2 linked regions of the Nothobranchius furzeri genome follow. The protein of the gene in region 1 interacts with the protein of each later gene in a pairwise test. Links are inferred from orthologs where the notes say so. Each region holds a gene or a part of one and is shown on either strand. Other genes may lie near its edges.

What was found. The genes of interacting proteins can lie anywhere in the genome.
Region 2: the proteins of fibronectin type III and SPRY domain-containing protein 2 (region 1) and leng1 interact in binary tests that used the Homo sapiens proteins (3 or more experiments, as listed by UniProt). The two-hybrid records come from large-scale screens. The link is inferred for Nothobranchius furzeri from reciprocal best matches to the Homo sapiens genes FSD2 and LENG1.

Annotation. Positions count from the first base shown.
Region 1 is NC_091749.1:41,532,027-41,542,262, reverse strand, and holds the end of fibronectin type III and SPRY domain-containing protein 2, read right to left. Parts: intron 10,124-10,236; coding exon 9,991-10,123; intron 9,913-9,990; coding exon 9,736-9,912; intron 3,533-9,735; coding exon 3,283-3,532; 3' UTR 3,180-3,282; downstream 1-3,179. Other genes in the region: KH homology domain-containing protein 4, read left to right, coding at 158-215, 411-646, 806-910, 1,414-1,499, 1,599-1,747, 2,189-2,319.
Region 2 is NC_091745.1:76,663,237-76,673,875, forward strand, and holds leng1 (leukocyte receptor cluster member 1), read right to left. Parts: upstream 6,075-10,639; 5' UTR 5,924-6,074; intron 5,733-5,923; 5' UTR 5,688-5,732; coding exon 5,556-5,687; intron 4,612-5,555; coding exon 4,429-4,611; intron 3,516-4,428; coding exon 3,229-3,515; intron 3,072-3,228; coding exon 2,852-3,071; 3' UTR 2,801-2,851; downstream 1-2,800. Other genes in the region: voltage-gated chloride channel TMC4, read right to left, coding at 6,634-6,726, 6,820-6,898, 6,981-7,136, 7,259-7,389, 7,482-7,665, 7,761-7,858, 9,551-9,677.

The sequences.
Region 1 (10,236 bases):
CAATATTGAATGTGGTAGTGTGAACCACCAGATCTCCAGTGATAGATCTCGAGTGCTCTGCACCTACCCACAATCCCATTACTTGGAATGAATCAATGAAGCCTTTGTGGGATTTGCCTTGCTTATGAATTAGTTCTTGTTTTCTCTTGTTCTCCAGGTGAGAGCCGAGCATGCCCAAATGGTGTCGGTGTACACAGCCACAGGCTCAACACAACGTGAGTATTTTATTACATATATTAAAGAGATGGGTATGCTCAAACAAGTTGACCAAATATCAGCTGTGGAATGGCTGCATTCTTCTTTTGATTAATGCATCCCCTCTTAAAGTTTAGTTGTGGCTCCGCAGTTTGTTGAAATAGTTAGATCCGTGTGGTGTTTTACATTAATTAAAATTTTAACTGTCCTTTCAGCATATGCAGCACATGGGTATCCATCCAATAGCAGCTACTCTAGCCAGGCGTCCTGGTATACCTACCCAGCAAACGGGTATACTGGAGGATACGCAGCATATCCTGGAGCCGGTGCTTATTGGAGTAATACCGATGGTCCTCCATGTCAATCCAACACATCAACAAACACTTCATCTTCCCAAGGCATGGTTCAGTATCCAATGTGTCCAAGGAAACCACATCCCTATATTGTCCAGGTGATTACTACGGCTTAAGTGTTAGTTGCTGAATTCTAGTTTCTGTTTCACGCCAAAAACATAAAAACCTTTCAACTCCTTTAGTGAGTTGTAATGAGATTATTTTCTTGGCTGAATCAGTGTGTGTGTATATAAGTTGGTTGTGCTCTACTTATTAAGGATCCAGGCAACAGTGACACGATGGAGCCTGGGGCATCTTTAAACATCCCCCCTGACTCAGGAAGTCCCAAACAGCATTCCCAAGAAGGGGATAAGGATGAAGAGGTTAGCTGGAGCACTGATTTCTACCATTAATGTGGAACAGAGAGGCACACAGATGTTTTCCTTCAGTAACTTATTACACATCTGCTGTTTTACACCCATTTTCATTATTGCAATCATTCTTTTCACACTAAAATAACACATTGAAGATGTCCTAGTAAAGGTTAGCGTATTGGTTATGGTGCATTCTGACTGACCAACCACGCCGTTTACGGTCCAGCTTTAAAACATTTGCTTTGGTCATCAGCTGAGCTTTTGTTATACGCTCTCCCAGATTTTATGATTCTCAGGAAAAAATGTTAATATTAAAACCCCAAATGTTACTGGAAACGAGCCGGTGTCGAAAGTAGCTTTTTGTTTTAAGCAGAGCTAAAAATAAAAAAGTATTCAGACTTCATGTTCTTAGCAGTCGATAAAATATTCTAAAGCCAGGAGGTTTTATATTGTTTTTGGTACATTTTTAAAATGTCTTTTTTAAATTAAATTTAATATAAATTTCCCTGTAGCCTAAGAGCTGCTTTCCAGAGTGTCCTGCTCATCTGGAGTCAACTCTTCCTTCAACTGGAGTCATGGCGGAAACGGTAGTAGAAAGGTCTGTTGATATGTTTTAGTCTCACTTGTATCATTTTCAAATCCATTTTGGTGTAAATAAAAAATGTTTATATATATATATATATATATTTTTTTTTAGAATACTGATGCCTCCACCACCGCCTGTCTTTGTGGCCCCTGTTCCTCCTCCTCCTACTTCACCTGCTCCTGCTCCAGCTTTACGCAAAAGAGAGAGAGAAGTTGTGATAGAAGAACCGGCTAGCCTTCCCATCAGCGCCGCATCATTGGGTATGCGTTCCTTCATTTTCAAATGTTCTGAGAGTCCTGAGAACTCGGGATGTTTCTGCTGTGGAGCTGTCTATTGCATGACGTAGCGTCTCCTCCCATGGAGCAATGGGGGAGGAGTGGAGACCTGTATGAATCCCACCACTGATGGAACTCACTAATGCGCTCTTCTTGTATATGTTTTTTGTCTTTCCCTTGTTTTCTCTCTCAACATGTGTCCCCGGACGTGCCTATAATGGATGTGTGCTCTGCTGCCGTTTGATTTGATATCTTCCCTCCTGGCTCTGGATCAAACGCACTGAAAAACCACCGCTTATGTGGGGCTCCTCAATGGGTTTCCATTTGGTTTTGCTCTCTCTCTCTCTGACCCCATCCCTCTCTTCTTTCATGTCTCCCACTTCCCTGTTTTTTTTTTCTCTTGTCTTTTTTCTTGTGACCTTCCAGATGTTCCAGACGAGGTGTGTGTGAAGAAGACTAGAGTGAACCTAAATGCTTCTGGGCTTGTGCCCTATGGAGGAGATTCCTCAGATGAAGAGGAGGAGAGGACACGCAGCAGTAAGACAGAAAACTCATAACTTCTGCCAGCCCTACCCCCCCGTCCCAAGATATCCACACATCCAGCAAATCCACACAATTCTCCAACTCTTCAGAAAAGTCCACCCTTACATGACCATACGTTGTTATGGACTTTAAGCTTTTTGGGATGTGTAAGCTTATTTCTGTCATTTTCTGAACTACGAGATTTTTTAAAAATCTTAGAAAAAATACATTTTTTTTTTTTTTTTTTTCATTTCTGTGTTTCAGTTATCCTGAATCACAGAATGTTTACTGGTACAAGTAGCTTTTAACCTGTCCAGAGGGGAGCCTTAAACTGATGTTCATTTGTAGAGATATGTACATTTACCCACCAGCTCATTCAACCTCGGTGTGCATTTATTTGCAAACAACTCATTTTGCAGTCGCTTTTCATTTGACAGTGTTGCAGGTGACGTTTTTAGAAAACTCAAATCATCTTCTTTTTTTTTCTAATTTGTCTTATGTTCATCATTGTTGAAGCTTCACTTTTTCTTTGTTTTTATCTGACCCTAAATTATGCCCAAATTCTCTTTAGACTAGGAGAGAAAAAGCTTTATAAGCACATCAGCGGACACTTTAATTATGGAAGTACAGGGTGGACTTTTCCCGTTTCAACATGTGAATTCAGATGTAAATTACCAAACTTTTTTCTTTTTCTTTTTCTATTCATCTTTTGTTACTTAAAAGGCCCTTTTTAAGTCCCATCCCATCTTGCTGCAACAGATGGTTTAAATACATATAAAATCCAGTTAAATCTTTTCTTATCTTGGAAAATGGTGTATGCCTGTTCCCATGGAATACTATAATAAAACGCCTAAAACTGTCTCTACTGATTCATTTGAGTTGGGAGTTTACCAAATGTGTTTAAACATTGTTTAATAACATTCATAATGGTCAACATCAGAAACATTCGTTTAGCGCGTTTATTTTTTCCCCCGTATGTTGGGAAGAGACGCTTTCTATTAGATGAGTGTGTACTCGGGAGCTTGGATGCCGTTGTGGACCGTGAGTGCTCCTGGGCTGTCCAGGCTAAAACAAGGGTGGACATAGTTTTGAAAGTGACAGTGGAAGGTGTGCAAATGTTGCCCCAGGTTTGCATTGAAGAATGATAGCGTTCCCCCGTCGTAGTCGAGAGCCACTCCGATGCGTGCTGGGTACACGGTGATCCTCAAGTCCGGACTCTGGCCGTTGTGTAGAAACTCATATTTATGCCTTCACAGAAAGAGCCACATTACTATGAGTTTGTTAGTATAAACAGTGTTTAAACAACTCATGGTTGGTTGCCAATAGGAAAGCAGATGCAGACTTATGTGCAAGCAAGATTGTAACTGGCTGCAGATGAAACAAAATGAACAAGACTTAAAATCTGTGAAGGAAGGATTAAAAAGATGCTCACAATAGAATTACATTTGGGGTTTGTGGGACACACTGCTTCAAGTTAAGTCTTAAAAACATCCAGCTTTGCTCCCAAAAATGGTTGCTATAGAAACACTTGGAAGTAACATTTAATGCAGGATATTTCTTTCCTTTAGTGGACTTAGTCTTGCAGAGAGCAGCCTTCTCTCTTTTTTTTGTGAATGATAAATGTTCTAAAATGGGTGTCAAACTCAAATTCACACGGGGCTGAAATGAAACTGGGACGGAGTCGAGGGCCAAACTTAATATTTTTTGAAAAAGTGACGGCAAATTTGCACATTTTCTTTATCAACATATATGCAATTGTGAACCTTTTAATTTAGAAACAAACTTATTTCTGCATTAACACTGAATGTGGAATAACCAAATTACAAACGAGCAAGTCAGTTTTAAATAAAATACATCAGTGGTATTCATTACTTGTGGTATAATCAGCATTTTAAAAATCTATTCAGGATTTATGTTTTCTTGTTTATTCATTTTTCTTGTGTTTTATTCTCCTTTTTTCTCCTGTAATAAGTTTCATCGCTGCTGTGACGTCTAGCTTTCCCCACTGAGGAACAATAAAGGGATTTTCACGGGCCAACAACAAAATAAAACTCATTTTATCTTAAATGAAAATGCAACATCTCACCTGTTAACTTTCATGTTTTGGAGCAGAAAAAGAGCATAAAACCAACATATTTAAAGCTCAGTTTGCTCCGCTGGTTTACTGTGATGCTCACCTGTTCCAGCCAGATACCTGCATCATGGGGTTGATCTGAGCTGAGGAGGAGACTCCTGTTTTTTTGTTCATCTTCATCATAATAATGACAACATTAGATGACAACAGGTGCTCACATAGGTTTGTGCTGCTGAACATGGAGAGCGTCTGAGCAGCTTTACCACGTTATGTGTCGGGGAGGAAAAATAAAAACTACAGCAGTTATATCAGCTCTGGAAGTTAGTTGGTAAACTTTCTCTTTCAGTCGTGAACACATTACTGAGTGGTTAAAATCTCTGTTTCTGGGCTTCAATGTTGGCAAATAGCTGAGTAAACTCGGCTCTGAGTGAGAGGAGTGTTTACTTTATCCGTGACAGCGGAGCTGCAGACGTTGGAAAAAACACAAAGGAGGGGGCGCTTCAGCTCCGTGCTAACGCCGCAAAACATCATGGGAGTTATAGTCTTTTAGGTAAAATTGGCCAGCGGGTCAATTTTAATATATTTTTGAAATTTATCTTGCGGGCCACATAAAAATGCGCCTTGTGTCTGACACGTGTCCTAAAAGCTAAAAATACAGTCTGCCTAGTTTCTCAGATCTGCACTAACTTGTTTTTCAGAGAACCAGCGTGTTCATTTTGGATTTTAGCTGGTCAAAATCCACGTGCTTTGTTGGAAATCAGATTTCTGTCACTAGCAAAGGATTCAATCATCTCAGTGGCAAACCAAACCTACCTAAAACATTTTTATTTATCTCAAATTTGAAGGTTGGAGATGAGCAGGAAGAGTGTCTTTTCCAGAATGACTCATAACCAGAGACTGTGCACCACATTCAGTGTTTAAAGCAGAGACCGACCGATGTGTTTTTTAAGGCCAATACCGATTTTTTTTAAAGAATTTTGTTGCAGATGGTCGACTATATATATGTATATATATATATATATATATATATATATATATATATGTGTGTGTGTGTGTGTGTATATATATATATATATATATATATATATATATATATATACACACACACACACACACACACATATATATATATATATATATATATATATATATGTGTGTGTGTGTGTGTGTGTGTATATATATATATATATATATATATATACACACACACACACACACACACATACATGTTTTAGCAGCACATTGATTGTGAAGAAGTTACCACTCACTGTGCAATTTAAATTACACAAGTCAATAAATCTCTTAATATTTATTGAACTTCAAATATAAAACACTTAAATGGTGTGTTGGGGTCCTTCGGGCAGTGGCGGATTTAGCAATTTGGGGGCCCAAGGCGAACACAGACATGGGGCCCTTTACACAAAATTTTTGACAATCTTACCTTTAACTAGATTTGCAAAACTCCCCTCTTCTGACATGAGTTATTTTCCCTTTTTATTAGTCCTCCTCTTTTTTCCTGTACTTCTCTCCCTTTGAGCGCTTTCAATATTTGCTCTGCTTTCTTCTTCCTGTCAGTGCTCCTGTGCTTTAGCCTTAGTTATTTTTTTTTTCTATTTTCCATTTTGGTCTGTGTTTTCCTCCCTTTAAACATTTTCCATTGTCTTTCCTTTTCTGCTTCCTGATGTTTACATCGAAAAACGACGCCACTTTCAGAAGAGAAAATAAAAGCTTTTATGAAGCAAGCTGCTGCTTTCTCTTATTGGAGCCACTAGGATAACTCAGTTTCATGCTTAATGTTTTGACTATTGCTTTGAATTTCTTACGAGCACTCCCGCCTCTCTTCTTATTATTTGTGGTCTTATGCCACTTGGCAAACAACAATTTGGTGCATTACCGCCACCAACTGGATTGGAGTTGAATGACTACCAATCACTTCCTGTTTGTGCATCGGTGTCTTAATAACCCTCTTATGACCATAATTATAACAGGGCTCCCTGGTATTTTTTCTTAAGGCTGTAAAATTGTAATAAAAAAATTGCAAAGTGTTCTCCTTTTTTCAGAACAACCTCAGCTTTCAGTGTATGGTTTGTGTTTAGAATTTATTTCTTTTAAAGCCTTTAAAAAATCAGCTTAAAAGTGAAAAAAGCAAAAAACGGATTTGAATTTTTTACATTTATTACTGAACAGGAACTTCAAAATTACTGGGCAAACAATTTGTCGTCTTCGTCTTCCTCCGCTTATCCGGGTCCGGGTCGCGGGGGCAGCATCCCAATTAGGGAGCTCCAGGCCGTCCTCTCCCCGGCCTTGTCCACCAGCTCCTCCGGCAGGACCCCAAGGCGTTCCCGGACCAGATTGGAGATGTAACCTCTCCAACGTGTCCTGGGTCGACCCGGGGGCCTTCTGCCGGCAGGACATGCCCGAAACACCTCCCCGGGGAGGCGTCCAGGAGGCATCCTGACCAGATGCCCAAACCACCTCAACTGGCTCCTTTCGATCCGGAGGAGCAGCGGTTCTACTCCGAGTCCCTCCCGAATGTCCGAGCTCCTCACCCTATCTCTAAGGCTGAGCCCGGCCACCCTACGGAGGAAACTCATTTCGGCCGCTTGTATCCGCGATCTCGTTCTTTCGGTCATTACCCAAAGCTCATGACCATAGGTGAGGATTGGGACGTAGATCGACTGGTAAATCGAGAGCCTGGCTTTCTGGCTCAGCTCCCTCTTCCCCACGACAGATCGGCTCAGTGTCCGCATCACTGCAGACGCCGAACCAATCCGCCTGTCGATCTCCCGATCCCTCCTACCCTCACTCGTGAACAAGACCCCGAGATACTTAAACTCCTCCACTTGAGGTAGGACCTCTCCCCCGACCCGGAGGTGGCAAGCCACCCTTTTCCGGTCGAGAACCATGGTCTCAGATTTGGAGGTGCTGATCCTCATCCCAGCCGCTTCACATTCGGCCGCGAACCTACCCAGCAAGAGCTGAAGGTCAGAGCTGGATGAAGCTAGGAGGACCACATCATCCGCAAAAAGCAGAGACGAGATTCTCCTGCCACCAAACTTGACACACTCCACACCACGGCTGCGTCTAGAAATTCTGTCCATAAAAGTGATGAACAGAACCGGTGACAAAGGGCAGCCCTGGCGGAGTCCAACCCTCACTGGGAACAGGTCCGACTTACTACCGGCTATGCGGACCAAATTCACGCTCCTCTGGTAAAGGGACTGAATGGCCCTTAACAGAAAGCCACCCACCCCATACTCCTGGAGCGTCCCCCACAGGGTGCCCCTGGGGACACGGTCATAAGCCTTCTCCAAATCCACAAAGCACATGTGGATTGGTTGGGCAAACTCCCATGCCCCCTCCATCACCCTTGCAAGGGTATAGAGCTGGTCCACAGTTCCACGGCCAGGACGAAAACCACATTGCTCCTCCTCTATCTGAGATTCAACTATCGATCGGACCCTCCTCTCCAGTACCTTGGCATAGACCTTTGCAGGGAGGCTGAGGAGTGTGATCCCCCTATAGTTGGAACACACCCTCAGGTCACCCTTCTTAAAGATGGGGACCACCACCCCGGTCTGCCACTCCCTAGGAACTGCCCCCGATGACCACGCAATGTTGTAGAGACGTGTCAACCATGACAGCCCTACAACATCCATAGCCTTGAGATACCCAGGACGAACCTCATCCGGCCCCGGGGCTCCGCCGCTGTGTAGTTGTTTGACTACCTCAGCAACTTCTGCCCCCGAGATCGGACAGTCCATCCCCAGGCCTCCCAGCTCTGGTTCCTCCTCGGAATGCGCATTGGTGGGATTGAGGAGCTCCTCAAAGTATTCCTTCCACCGTCCGACTATAGCCTCAGTTGACGTCAGCAGCTCCCCATCCCCACTGTAAACAGTGTGAGCGAGTTGCTGCCTTCCTCTCCTGAGGCGCCGGACAGTTTGCCAGAACCTCTTTGGAGCCGATCGATAGTCTTTCTCCATGGCCTCACCAAACTCCTCCCACGCCCGAGATTTTGCCTCGGCAACTGCCACTGCTGCACCCCGCTTGGCTATCCGGTACCTGTCTGCTGCCTCCGGAGACCCACAGACCAGCCACGCCCTGTAGGCCTCCTTCTTCAGCCTGACGGCTCCCCGAACCTCTGGAATGGACAATTTAAACTTTGAACTGTATTGCATCTATTCTGAAAAAAGTTTGAACCTTGGTTTCTTTTTCAGCAGTTTTTAAGACCATTTAGTTTTGTAAACTTTCAGACGTTTTTATTTGATGTGGTAGACTTGAAGCAGTTTCTCTCCAGCTGCAGGCAGAGTCCTGCACACCTCACACTGCCATGGGGTGCTTCTCTTGCACACCGTGCACTGCTATACCAAAAACTTTTGTTTTAGCAAAAATAATTATTTATTGTAAAAAGATAAATAATGCTGGAATGAAGCTGAGCAAATAGTTGAGGGTTGTTCAAATAAAAAAATAAAGACTGAACAAAGGTTCATACCCTGGTTCACTGGAGACCTGTCGTTCTTCGTGGTCACTGACTTCAGATAAAAGCCTTCTTGGACACGTATTAGATCGCATAGATTTTTTTGAGGAATTTCCATAATTTCATTCCGGCTTTTTATGCTAATTAGATTCCCCGTTCCGTTATCTGCTTTCACCTCTGCGCTGTACTCCGTTTCAATCAGGCTGTACAGCAGGATTTCCCCTCGTAGCGACATTTTCCATAACTGATTGCTTCGTGCTATAGATTGTTGGAAAGCTGCTTTTATGTACTTTTAGGAACCGTTGGAATTATTTGAATCTGATCAGCCATTCAAAAGTTATAAAACGGAGCATTTTGGATAACAAACTCAGCACGTCTCTGAATCTGTGTTGTGATTCGTTGCGCTCAAGACAGGGAATCCTGGTGGCTACCGTAATATATTGTATATGCACCAAAAGCCCCATTTTTAATCTTTTCAGCACTTTTAGAATTTTAATGATATCTTGAACGGTTCAGGAATTATGGTAATGAGAATTGCGCATGTCCAATCCCGTCTGCGGCGACAGGTTGGTAATAAGAATATTGTGGCATTAACAGAGGGGTGCCGGCGGTCAGGGCTAGGGGGCCCCCCAACACAAGGGGGCCCCAGGCGGCCGCCGACCTATAACTAATGGTAACACCGCCGCTGCCTTCGGGTCCTTTCTTCAGTCTAGTAGTGGCGACAGTTGGCCACACGGGTTTCTGTTTGTTTTTTTGTTTTTTTCCCCCCAGCTTTTAAAAATAATTTTGTCTGATGGCCAATATAGAAAAAAAAATTAATATATTGGTCGGCCTCTATAGTTTGAAGTCACACACAAGCTGTTGATTCATTAGAAGACATAACGTTTCATTGTTTGGTACCTGGTTGGACTGCGGATGTGTTTCATACACCAAGAACTGCTGTTTGCCCCGAGGTATGAGTTCCTCTCAGTGTCCTCATATGCGACTCCAATCCGGAATTCCGTCTCATCATCCACTTCAACTTCCCAGTAATGCCTGCCTCTAACTGGAATCAGATCCCCCAGGATGGCTACACATCTACACACACACACACACACACACACTCCATAAAGAGCTGCAATAGAGGCCCAATCCACAGTCGCATCTGTACTCAACCTTGTAAAAGTGTTGTCATCGAGAGCCAATGCGCTTATGGGTAGCTCCTCATCTCCGTAAAATATAGTGAAGCCATCCTCAGAGATGGAAAGGCATGGATGGGCTGTGTCCTCCAGGAGGTGGAAGAACGTACCTGTGATTTCACCCAATTGTGTTAAAGTAGGAAAAGCATGCCTGATTTTTTAATTATGTTATACAGCAAAAACTACAAATAATATGTTCACATTTATATGGCCTATTTGAATT
Region 2 (10,639 bases), on another chromosome or scaffold:
AGCTGCGCTGCAGCAGACAATGACGTCACCTTCTGCTCGTTTACATACTGAACCACTTTATCAGGGATGCAGCGTTTAAATTCCTCAAGGAGCAGGAGCTCACGCAAAGTAGAAAAGTCTTTTACCTTGGAGGAATTACACCATTTATCGAATAAAACCGTTTTTACTCGAGCAAACTCTATGTGTGTCTGTGCAGAGTTTTTCCTGGAAAGTCTGAGTTTCTGGCGATAGGCTTCTGGCACCAACTCATATGCCTGTAAAACTGCAGTTTTAACGGTGTCATAATTATTGCTATCCGAGACAGAGAGAGCGGCTACAACCTCGGAGGCTTTACCTGTGAATCTGCACTGCAGCAGAAGAGGCCACACATCCCGCGGCCAATTAAGCGCCGTTGCGATGCGTTCAAACGCAGAGAAGTAGCAGTCAACCTCAGATTCCCTGAAAACAGGCATCAACGCCATGCAGTTACTGATATTAAAAGAGTCTTGCGGTGGGGAACTCACCGGAGATGTCTCTTTCTCAGCCTTCACAGCCTCGTGTTCAAGTTCAAGTTTGCGGAGCCGCAATTTTGTATCAGCTTCCAGTTCCAGCTTTCTCATCTCAAACTCCAGCTGTCTGCGCTGGGCTCGGTCCTCAGCGTCCAAACGGAGTTGCTCAATCCTCAGCCTGAATTCGGCTGGAGTCATGTCCTCATCAGAGTCAGCCGGGTCGGCGTCTCCAGCAGCTGTAACCAGTCTGTCTCTGTCATCAGGTGCTGCAGGGCTGACAGGGGGCGGGGTCGCCAGGGGAGGTTCAGCATGTACACGGGCCTCCGCAGGCGAGGCAGCCTGTTGCCGAGTAAGCAGGCCCAAGTCCTCCAGGCCACTGATTACCACCTCCTGCAGCTCCACCTTTAACATTGAGCTGTCCACCTGAAATCCAAAGTGATCCGCCACGTCCAGCAGATCCCGCTTGCGACAGGCACCAATCAGTCCACGGGATGGGGCCTCCACAAACTGCGCTAAATCAAAAGTAGCCATAACTGGTAAAACACTGATACACACAAATGATCACGCATCCAGCCTCAGTTTAAGGGTACTTAATGATCGCGGACGAGCCCCCATATGTTACAACCAGGTGTCTAGGGGGCCTGGGGTAACATGGAGGACGCGTGACACAAAGGAAAATTAACAAAGGTTTTATTTACTTTCTCTTAATTCAGAAAAGATTACTATTATGGTTTTAACCACCACGGATCTAAATCCACTTTTACCAAAACAGGTTCAAACAGTAAGAGCACAATATCGAAGTTCTAAGTGGGAGACAACAGACCAGAGGAAATGCAGCTCTGCACTATTGTCCCCCTTTGGTGAGGAGCTCCAGCTGGTCCTTTAAACAATTTGTGGCTGATGAAAACCCAGCTCAGCTGGTCCAGGGAGGAGCAAGGGTGAGCCAACATAGTCTGCAGGCAGGCTCCTCAGATGCAACATAAAATGCACAGAAAAATGAAATCACAACACAAAAAGGCTCCAGCCGTAACAACTAAAATAACTCCTGATTCCCAGTATAAAAAGACCAATATACTTATAGCTCATAGTTTATGACCCAAGGGCTATAAACCTTGGTTTAACTCATTTAAGTCTAACCAGTACAGACCCAAATACCATTATCTTGCAAATACTGACAGCAAGAATTATACAGTGGCATTTATAACAAATACATGCAAATTGATGTTCACAAAATTTTGCATAACATGTATTGAGTCGTGTCTCAAGGTGCTGTAGGAGAGTGCACAAGCACCGTGTCCTCAGAGAGATTAGTTATTATTTATCAGCGTGAGGAACTTATTTCTACCTTATTTATAAACTATTTATTTACAGGTCCATCAGTTAATGTAATAATTGTCCCAACCACAGCTGCACCCCCACCCCCCAGCCCGGTCTCACAGCAATCAGGGGTAAGCTGCACGTGTGTTTAGCGCGCCGCACGCGCACATTTAGCCGTTTTTATCGGCTCAGGAGTCCGCAGGTGCGGTGTGTGCGTCACTCACTCTGGTTACTCCAACAGGGAGCCGGCTCCAAGAGCTGTTTCTTTAGCAACCGACACATCACTGCATCATTCCCTTTCCTAATGTCCTGAAGAACGGTCCGGAGCGCAGGCGGAGTGTTTAGCTAACCTGCAGGAAACGTCGACGACAGTTATCCAGAAAGTAGCTAAGGGTTACCAGAGATGTTTCTGAGGTGTTCACTAGGTACTTTTAAGATTTAAAAAGTCATGAAGGGGGTCTGAAAAGCTGCTAGAAATAGCGTCAAAGTCGCTAAGTTAACTTGGCAACACTGGGAGGAGCGCTTCATTTGTAACTCAAGGCAGCGCAAGTGGGAGGAGCAAATAATCGGCTTGTTTTGTTTTTATAATCGTTCAAAACATTTGATTCGGAATATATTTCTATGTCGATGTTCAGAATACGACATCTGATAGTCTGAAAAAAATAATACCTAATTTGGAAAATATAATACCTCTGAGACCAAATTTAACACTTTTAATGGCCTTAAATTTGACTATTTTTATTTATCACTTTTTAATACTTTTTAAAACCCCGCGGACACCCTGCCTGGGTGACGGCCTGAGCCCCCTGTAAAGGCAACCATCTGCCCCGCTGATGCACACACGAGTGAAACGCTGCAGGAGCAGAGGAACCTGCAGCTGTTCGTGCGCCGCTAATGTTCCTGCACGTGTTTCACTCTACGAGGGAGCAAAAGTTGTAAAGATGTTCACCGCATTAAATCACTGGCTTTCTGAACAAAATTCACATTTTTTCCAGTTTACCGTCATGTTTCCTCTTTACTCCGACCAAAAAACACCAAATCGCAGCTCAGGACTTAAGAATCTCATCCCTCCAGCTCTCTCGATCTCGCCTTTGTCGCTTTCGAGCGAGTTCAGGAAAGTAGGCGCTGTTGTAGGGCCGTTCTCTGTCATTCAGTTCTCTTTCTGACTCCTTCCTTTTACCACTCCTCTGTTCTAGAAGAGCCTGGGTTTTCCTCCTTTCTTCAGCCTCCCTCTGTAAACGTTCAGCGCGTAACCTTTCCATGGAGCTGGAAAACACAGTGCAGATCATGAATGATGGGATGTTACCCGACAAAAACCTGGACGCATTTATCTAAGATAAACAGGAGATATTCTTATGAAAGCCACTGAGAGTCTGAACTAGAGGAGTGATTCACAAATGTAAAGCAGCAAATCCCATCCCACCTTTCTCCACTGCTCTGCTTTTCCACTTTGTCTCTTTTTTCCTTTTTCCTGTTTTTAGGTACTTTTCGTTCAAACACGTCTAGAGCTTTCTTCATTTCGTTCAGGGGATCCAAACTACTCTTCAGCCTCCGATCCTTCTTCTCTTTCTCCTCTTCACTTATTCCCTTCTTTTTGTCTTTCTCTTGACTTTCTTTGTCTTTGCTGCTCTTCAGGTACCACGGAGTCACCTCAGAGCCTGGCTGGGGTCCTAAAGACACCAGTAGGCCGATGGCGCGTTCCTGCTTCTCCTGGATGAGAAGATGCAGATTATATTTAAACAAAGGGGTTTTTGAAAACAGGGTATCTGCAGGTTTAAGGGAGACAAATTTAAGACTTTTTAAGACCTTTTTTAAGGCCACTTTGACCAAATTTAAGCTATTTAAGCAAGGCAGCGGTAGCTCAACAGGTTGAGCGGGTTGTCCAGTAATCGGAAGGTTGCAGGTTCGATCCTGGCTCCGGACAGAGAATTCTGCTGTTGTGTCCTTGGGCAAGACTCTTAACCCACCTTGCCTGCTGGTGGTGGTCGGAGGGACCGGTGGCGCCTGTGCTCGGCAGCCTCGCCTCTACATCGTAGCTCATCACCACCAGTGTGTGAATGTGTGTGTGAATGGATCAATGATACACTGTGGTGTAAAGCGCTTTGGAGTCCTTCCTCTGACAGGCGCTATACAAGTGCGGGTCATTTATCATTTAAGCTATAATTTCCAGCTATTGCCTGGAACCGGTGCTAACCACGCCGCGATCATGGGATTAGCCATCCAGTTACCATTAAACTTGCCCTTCCCCATGGCGCAAGCTCCCACTAGCTTAACCAGCTAACGTGCTCATCTAAAAATAGCCCCCTTTCACAACCAACTGAACGTGTACGGTTCCGCTTACGGCAACATCGTACACAAAAATGCTGAACGCTAACTAGAAATTCATGAAAATTTTATAGAAATAAAAGAATCTTGTTTATTGGGTCTTTGGTAATTTAAGACCTCTGGAAACTGTATTTAAGGATTATTTGTCATTTTTAAGGATTTTTAAGGCCTTAAATTTGGAAAAGCTAATTTAAGACTTTTTAAGGACCCGCGGATACCCTGGAAAAGGTGTTACTGAAGCAAATATAAAACCCCAAAAAATAAATAATCCACACATGTATTAAGGTTTTTCTGTCACCTTTTCCTCTTTCTTTTCTTTAAGATACTCCTCGTTCCCCTTCTTCTCTGAAGACTCCTCCAAAGGGAAGAGGTTGAGGTGCTCCAAGCCTCCTCCACCTTCCTTTTCATCATCATCATCTCTGCTTCCTCCTTCTGACTGAAGAGCAGCTCGAGATTTCCTTCTCAGATACTCTGTACGCGCCTGTAGAAACAAAAAGCTGTTAGAATAAACTAAAGATATAAATAATAAATAGTTATTTTGGATTGTAAGCAAATGCAGCTGAAGACATAGGACCTAACTGAGCTTTTGCAACAAGCTGAAAGCAACTAAATCCTAAATAGCACTGTGTAAAGCAGATTATTTGCTAAATTATACAACTTTGAATTATGTGTATCGTCTGGGACATTTGACAGTGGTACTATTGTTGTGGCTCTTTATTGTAATAAAGTTACTCATGATAAAGTGCTCTTGCCTCATATGTGCACGCAGCGGTTTAGATAGAATCAACGAGGAGAGAGAACGTGACGAAGCTCAGAATGTTTTCAGTTTTTCTTATTACTGAAATCATTGCTGCGGTTTTAATCTACATGTGGCATTCAGATTGTTTAACATCTATAACCTTAACATTTCTACACTTTTCCAAACTCCAAACATCCACCTGACCTTCGTGTGACTGGTTCTTTTGTCTTTCTCCCCAAAAGACATTTATTTCTGTATTTATTTAGTTTTAAATGGTCAGGATTAAAATCTGTGAAACTCTTTTGTTTACTTTTGATCATTTTTCCAGAACTAATTTCTTAAATATTTCAATTAAAGTGCCAGGTACCCTGTACATTCGGCTGATTTGTGGTTTTTCTATGCGTTACAGTTGTGTTGCACTCAAATACATTTTCCACAGTAGTAATGATACTTATATCGCTTATTAAGAAGAAGAAGAAAATATAATTTCTATAGTGCCTCTAAAGATAAAAATCACGAGGCACTTCACAAAAACAAAAATGTAAAAAAATAAAAAAGCATTTAGAAAATGTTTAAAAATATATTTAAAATGAGCAAAAATAGACAATTGTGATTCAAAAAAAATGTTAAGAAAGAGAGAGAGTGAAGACTAATGAATGACCATGCTAACACCAGAGGGGGACTACCTCTTGCTCTGCTCGCTCCACGCGACGCTTGGCCTCGCGCTCCTCTTCTGCTGCCTGGGCTTCATCCCTCCGCACGCGCGCAATGTTGTCCTTGTTGCGGACGTGCCAACTCTTCTTCGGGAGGATGTTCATGGTTGCCTTGGTGACCGACAATTAGCAGTCAGCTAGCTTAGAAAGCTAACGACAAGAGAAAACACTCACTCTGGTCAGTTAATATATTGGTGTATAGTAGAAATAAGCAGGTTATTCGACAAAATGTCTAAATACAGAAGCAGAATTTTTCAAATACGCCCAACAATCAAATATGCGTCGCTGTTTTCTTTCTTTTTAGGAAATTAAGCTAAATAGGGAAGGTCGCTAGTACTTGCCAATGTTTTGTGATGACGCAGAAGAAAATAACGTGGACCTTACTCACTCACATTATCTATTTAAGTTGACTACTTTCCTAAAATATAATAAATGCTATCAATGACGAGCTAACGGAGGAGTAGCTTCTGGTTTGTTGCGCTCACAGGAAGTAGTAGAGTTAAACAGGAAGTAAACAATAATCGTGTTATGTAATTACAATATGTAACACCAGGGGGCGCTGAAACTCTACTGGTATTTGTACAGGTGCCACAAAAATATTTACCGGTATGTCCCAAATATATATATTTTTTGCTATAACCAAAAGATGTCAAAAACAATGTACTCATTATGAAAGGACAAAAAGGTAAAGTATATGTTGGCTTTGGAATGTAGCATTTTGTGAAATGCATGCTCTTTCTTGTTAGCATTTTTGGTGATTCTGCACCCGAGGTTGTTTTATACAAAAGAAAAATAGCCTCTCAAAATCATAAATAAATTCTGTGCATGTTTATTAATTCAACACTAATGTTTAGAACAACAATCAAAATTATACTGACTTTAAATAACAAATTCTCTTATTGTTTCAGCTTCACAACAGAAACGCTGTAAATGAATATAGTAATTGTCAAATGAGATCTAGTCTGGATTAATGAGATTTCTCCCCCCCAGAAGACATATTAGTTACTTCATTATTTAGGTCAGAAAAACTAAACGTGGTCATCGGTTGTGTTCAGTCTTGTACTTCTGCTCTTAGTGCTGGCATCAGATGTTGCAGCTTTAGTCTTTCAATCTGTTTGACCAAAAACTGCTTATCTTGACCCTCCTGAAAATCAAAGACATGACATTGGACAATATTAGCTACCACTGAGGATATTATACAAATGATCCTTGATCTTTGTAAGTAGGAACAACATACCAACTTAAGCTGAGCTTTGAGCATCTCAACACTTTTTCCATAGATGGAAGCTAATGCTACAAAATAGCACATAATCACGCTGGCAGAGAGGAAAAAAGGCACTGTGATAATCTGTAGATTAAATCTAATAAATAATAAATATTTCACAAATGCACACTCACCATGATAAAGCAAAAAGAGGTATGGAAAATGCCTGTGAGCCAATGAAGAAGAGAAAATCCTGTGTAACTTTAGAGAGACAGTAGAAAGAGTTTGGAACAATCTTCCACATGGAGGGGAAGAAGCGGAAAGGCCCACACGCCATCGAAGGGTTGATCCTGTTTGGAGAGGTGGAAAGAATCCTTCTTAAAGTGTTTAGTGATGCCCTGACTGTTCTGACTTTCTAAAACGCTGTTTTGTTGGAAATATTAAGGATAAATCTGCAGCAGTCAGCACTCACACAGCAAGGCTGTAAATCATAACAACCAGGGCCAACGTCCAGCCAAACAGAAGCACCACCAGGAAAAAGAAGGTGGAGGTGGTGGACCGAAACGTCTTCAGCGCTGGCCGACAGTTGTGGAAGAGTGTGATCTGTGGACACGCAAACACAATATCATCACTAATACAAATAATTATAATGTATGTGAGAGGGAAAAAAACAAGTTTTATGTTAAATTCTTCACCTTCTTGCAGTAAAAGAGGATGACAAATTTAATGGTGTTCATGAGAGGCAGCAGAGGGCAGAACAGAGCTCCAGCCCAGACCACCGTCTGACCATAAACAAGCCCGAGGACGTTGGAAGGGACAACGAACTCCTGGCGGCCCACCAGCTGAGACAGCTTACAGGACCAGTTGTCCACCACAATCCTGACACACACAAGAAAACACAAACACCTCATATCCTACGGCGTATATGCTGTAAATCCCAAACCGCCTTCCATGTCTGAAACTTGGTTTTGTACCTGCGTGGAAACTCGACAAGCACGAGCAGAGCGATGTTTACCAGCAGGTCAAACAGCATGAGTTTGTACATCTCCTGTCCTACACGGGTTTCCCAGCACTACGTCACAGGGGGACAGGAAAAGATAAGAATAATGCATCTTTTAATGCCATGCATCCTGGTAGTGCAACAATCAAGTCCCTTTTTACGGTAAAGTATAGAAAACCTGGCCCAAGCACCAGAACGTCGTCTTTTACTTGTTGCTCTAAGCTGCAGAAGCGTTCAGGTGCTATATGTGAAGTATTTCTTCACGATAAGTTTTAAAATGAACAGTTGAAAAATGACTACAATTCCAAAACAAACAATGTATGTGAGAATTTAAGGGCTCAAAGCAAAATCCTCAGTTTGGCCAGTAGGTGGCAATAACACAACATAACATGTGAACAAACAAACACAGCTAAAGGGTAAAGCTTGGTTTATGCTTGACGCATTCACTTTCCACGCGGTGATGCGGCTCGCGGATGGAACGCGCTTCACAACTCGCAGCGTTTATGGTTCATGCGGCTCGTCTCTGCGGTGAGCCAATATTCTCCCAAACTGTAGGGGGCAGCATGGAGCTCTACGGCATGCATCCAACACTACACCGTAGTAGAAGTAAAAATTACTGTTGTTTACAACATGGCATTCCAGCTTTTTTAACAGCGTCCTCGTCTTTTCCGACAGTGCGAGCTATTTCTCTCCAAGAATTATTAACATGTTGATCACGGTGATCTCTGAGAGCTGAATCATACAAATGTCTGTATTTACAAACCTCTGCCGTACTAGTTCTTGCCGATCCACCATGTTTTTCCGTGTCCGTCCGTCCGCGTGGTTAGAAATTTTCCGAGGTGCGCGTTGTGGAAATTCTGGTTCGTGCGGAGGCGCGGTGGAGGGGCCTGGTTGTTAAAATGACGCAAAATGACGCAACTTTTCCGCGCGGAGCCGTGCGGACCTCACGGACGTGTCAAGCATAAACCAACCTTTAGGCCTCCTGGACACCTCCCTGAAGAGGTTTTCCAGGCACGTCCAACCAGGAGAAAACCAAACGACAGACCCAGGACACGCTGGAGGGACTATGTCTCTCAACTGGCCAGGGAACGCCTTAGGATTCCCCCGGAGGAGCTAGTCCAAGTGGCTGGGGAGAGGGAAGTCTGGGCCTCTCTGCTTAAGCTGCTGCCCCCGCGACCCGACTCCGGATGAGCAGTGGATAAGGGATGGATGGATGGATGGATGGACATAGCTAGGATTTCAGCTCTATATAAAGCCAACAGTGAATGTGTGTGAATGAGGAAGTGAGAGAGTGAAAATGAGATTCAGCACCATGCTAGCTAGCTGTGTCAGGCAGCGCCCCAGAGACATTAAATTCACTGATGCTGATTGGCCCCAAATTCTCAAGTTCTCTCTAGCAACCAAATGTGACTGGCTGTTTAGCTGCAGTTTAGGGGCACTTTTCCCAGCGCCCCTGGAGGGAAACAAGTGAGTCTGGTGGAGAAAATTCTCTGTTTAATGAGAGACAGCTGGTGAAAATGACGAGCAAACCATTCAAAATGCATGTAGGCTATCCCGACACATATATAGTAACTATATGATTATATATTGTAGTATTTTCTTTACTTTTCCAGATTTTTTCCTTTTCCTTCCAAGTCATGGAGGGCAGAGCCCCCTATGGATGAGCCGCCAATGGCTATAAAACTGTTGTATAATTTACACCTGAGACTCTGGACTCCACTTTTCTATGCTTTTAGCTACAAATGTATGCATAGACATATTTACCGGGTATTTTTCATGATCGTATCGGCACTGCTGACACGCAGACGCTTCTGCGTTCCCGCTACAGGTGATCTGACTACACAGGGTGAAGAGAAGGATGCCTAAGCTCACTAGGCGCAGGACCACTGCCCTGGAGATTAAGACGGTGTGAGTCAGGCAAAGGGGAAAATTGAGAAAAATTGTTAAGTGACAACTTGAATAACTCAAATAAAATAAATCGGACTCAGTCACAGTGAAACATTCAAAAGTGAACAAATGCATTACATTCTTCAACTCAGGTGATTCTTTAGACAGCAAAGAAAATCCTTTCTCCTGTTTTTTCTACTTTAACTCTTTTTGTTTCGTTTTTTGACTGTACGCCAATTTTTAATACGACGTCCTCATACATGATACGTTCTCATCAGCCACTTTATTAGGTACAGCTGTGCTGTTTGTTGGCTTGTTAATATAAAACAATCACAAGGAAGCAACTCAGCATTCAAGCACGGCGAAGATGACTTGCTGAAGTACAAACGGAGCATCAGGAAGCTGAAGAGAGTGGATTTAAGTGACTTGAGGAGTGAGGTTGCTGTCCCGGAGAGACTGGGCTGCTTTATGGGATTTTTACCCACAACCATCTCTAGGGTTCACAGAGAGCGAAAAGAAAAAAGCAGATGTTTGTTTGAAAAATATCCGGTTGATGCCAGAGAAGAATGGACACATTAGACAAAAACTAAGACAAGATGAGACAGGAAACCCACTTCCTGGTCTGACTAGTCTCGATTTCAGCTGCAACCATTAGATGGTCGGGTCAGAATTTGGTGTGAACACAAAAGCGTCCGTCGTGCCTTGGATTCGTGGTTCAGGCTGCTGCTGGTGGTGTAACGTGATGGTGGGATGTTTTTGTCCAACTCTGGACCCCTCAGTACCACCTGAGCCTGGTTTAAACACCACAGCCTACCTGAGTCTTGTTGCTGACCATGTCCATCTCTTCATGACCACATGGACCCGTCGTCTGATGAACAAAGCTCAGATCATCTCTAACTGGTTTCTGGAACATGAGCTCACTGGACTCTAACGGCCTCCACAGTCACCAGATCCCAGTCCAGTCCA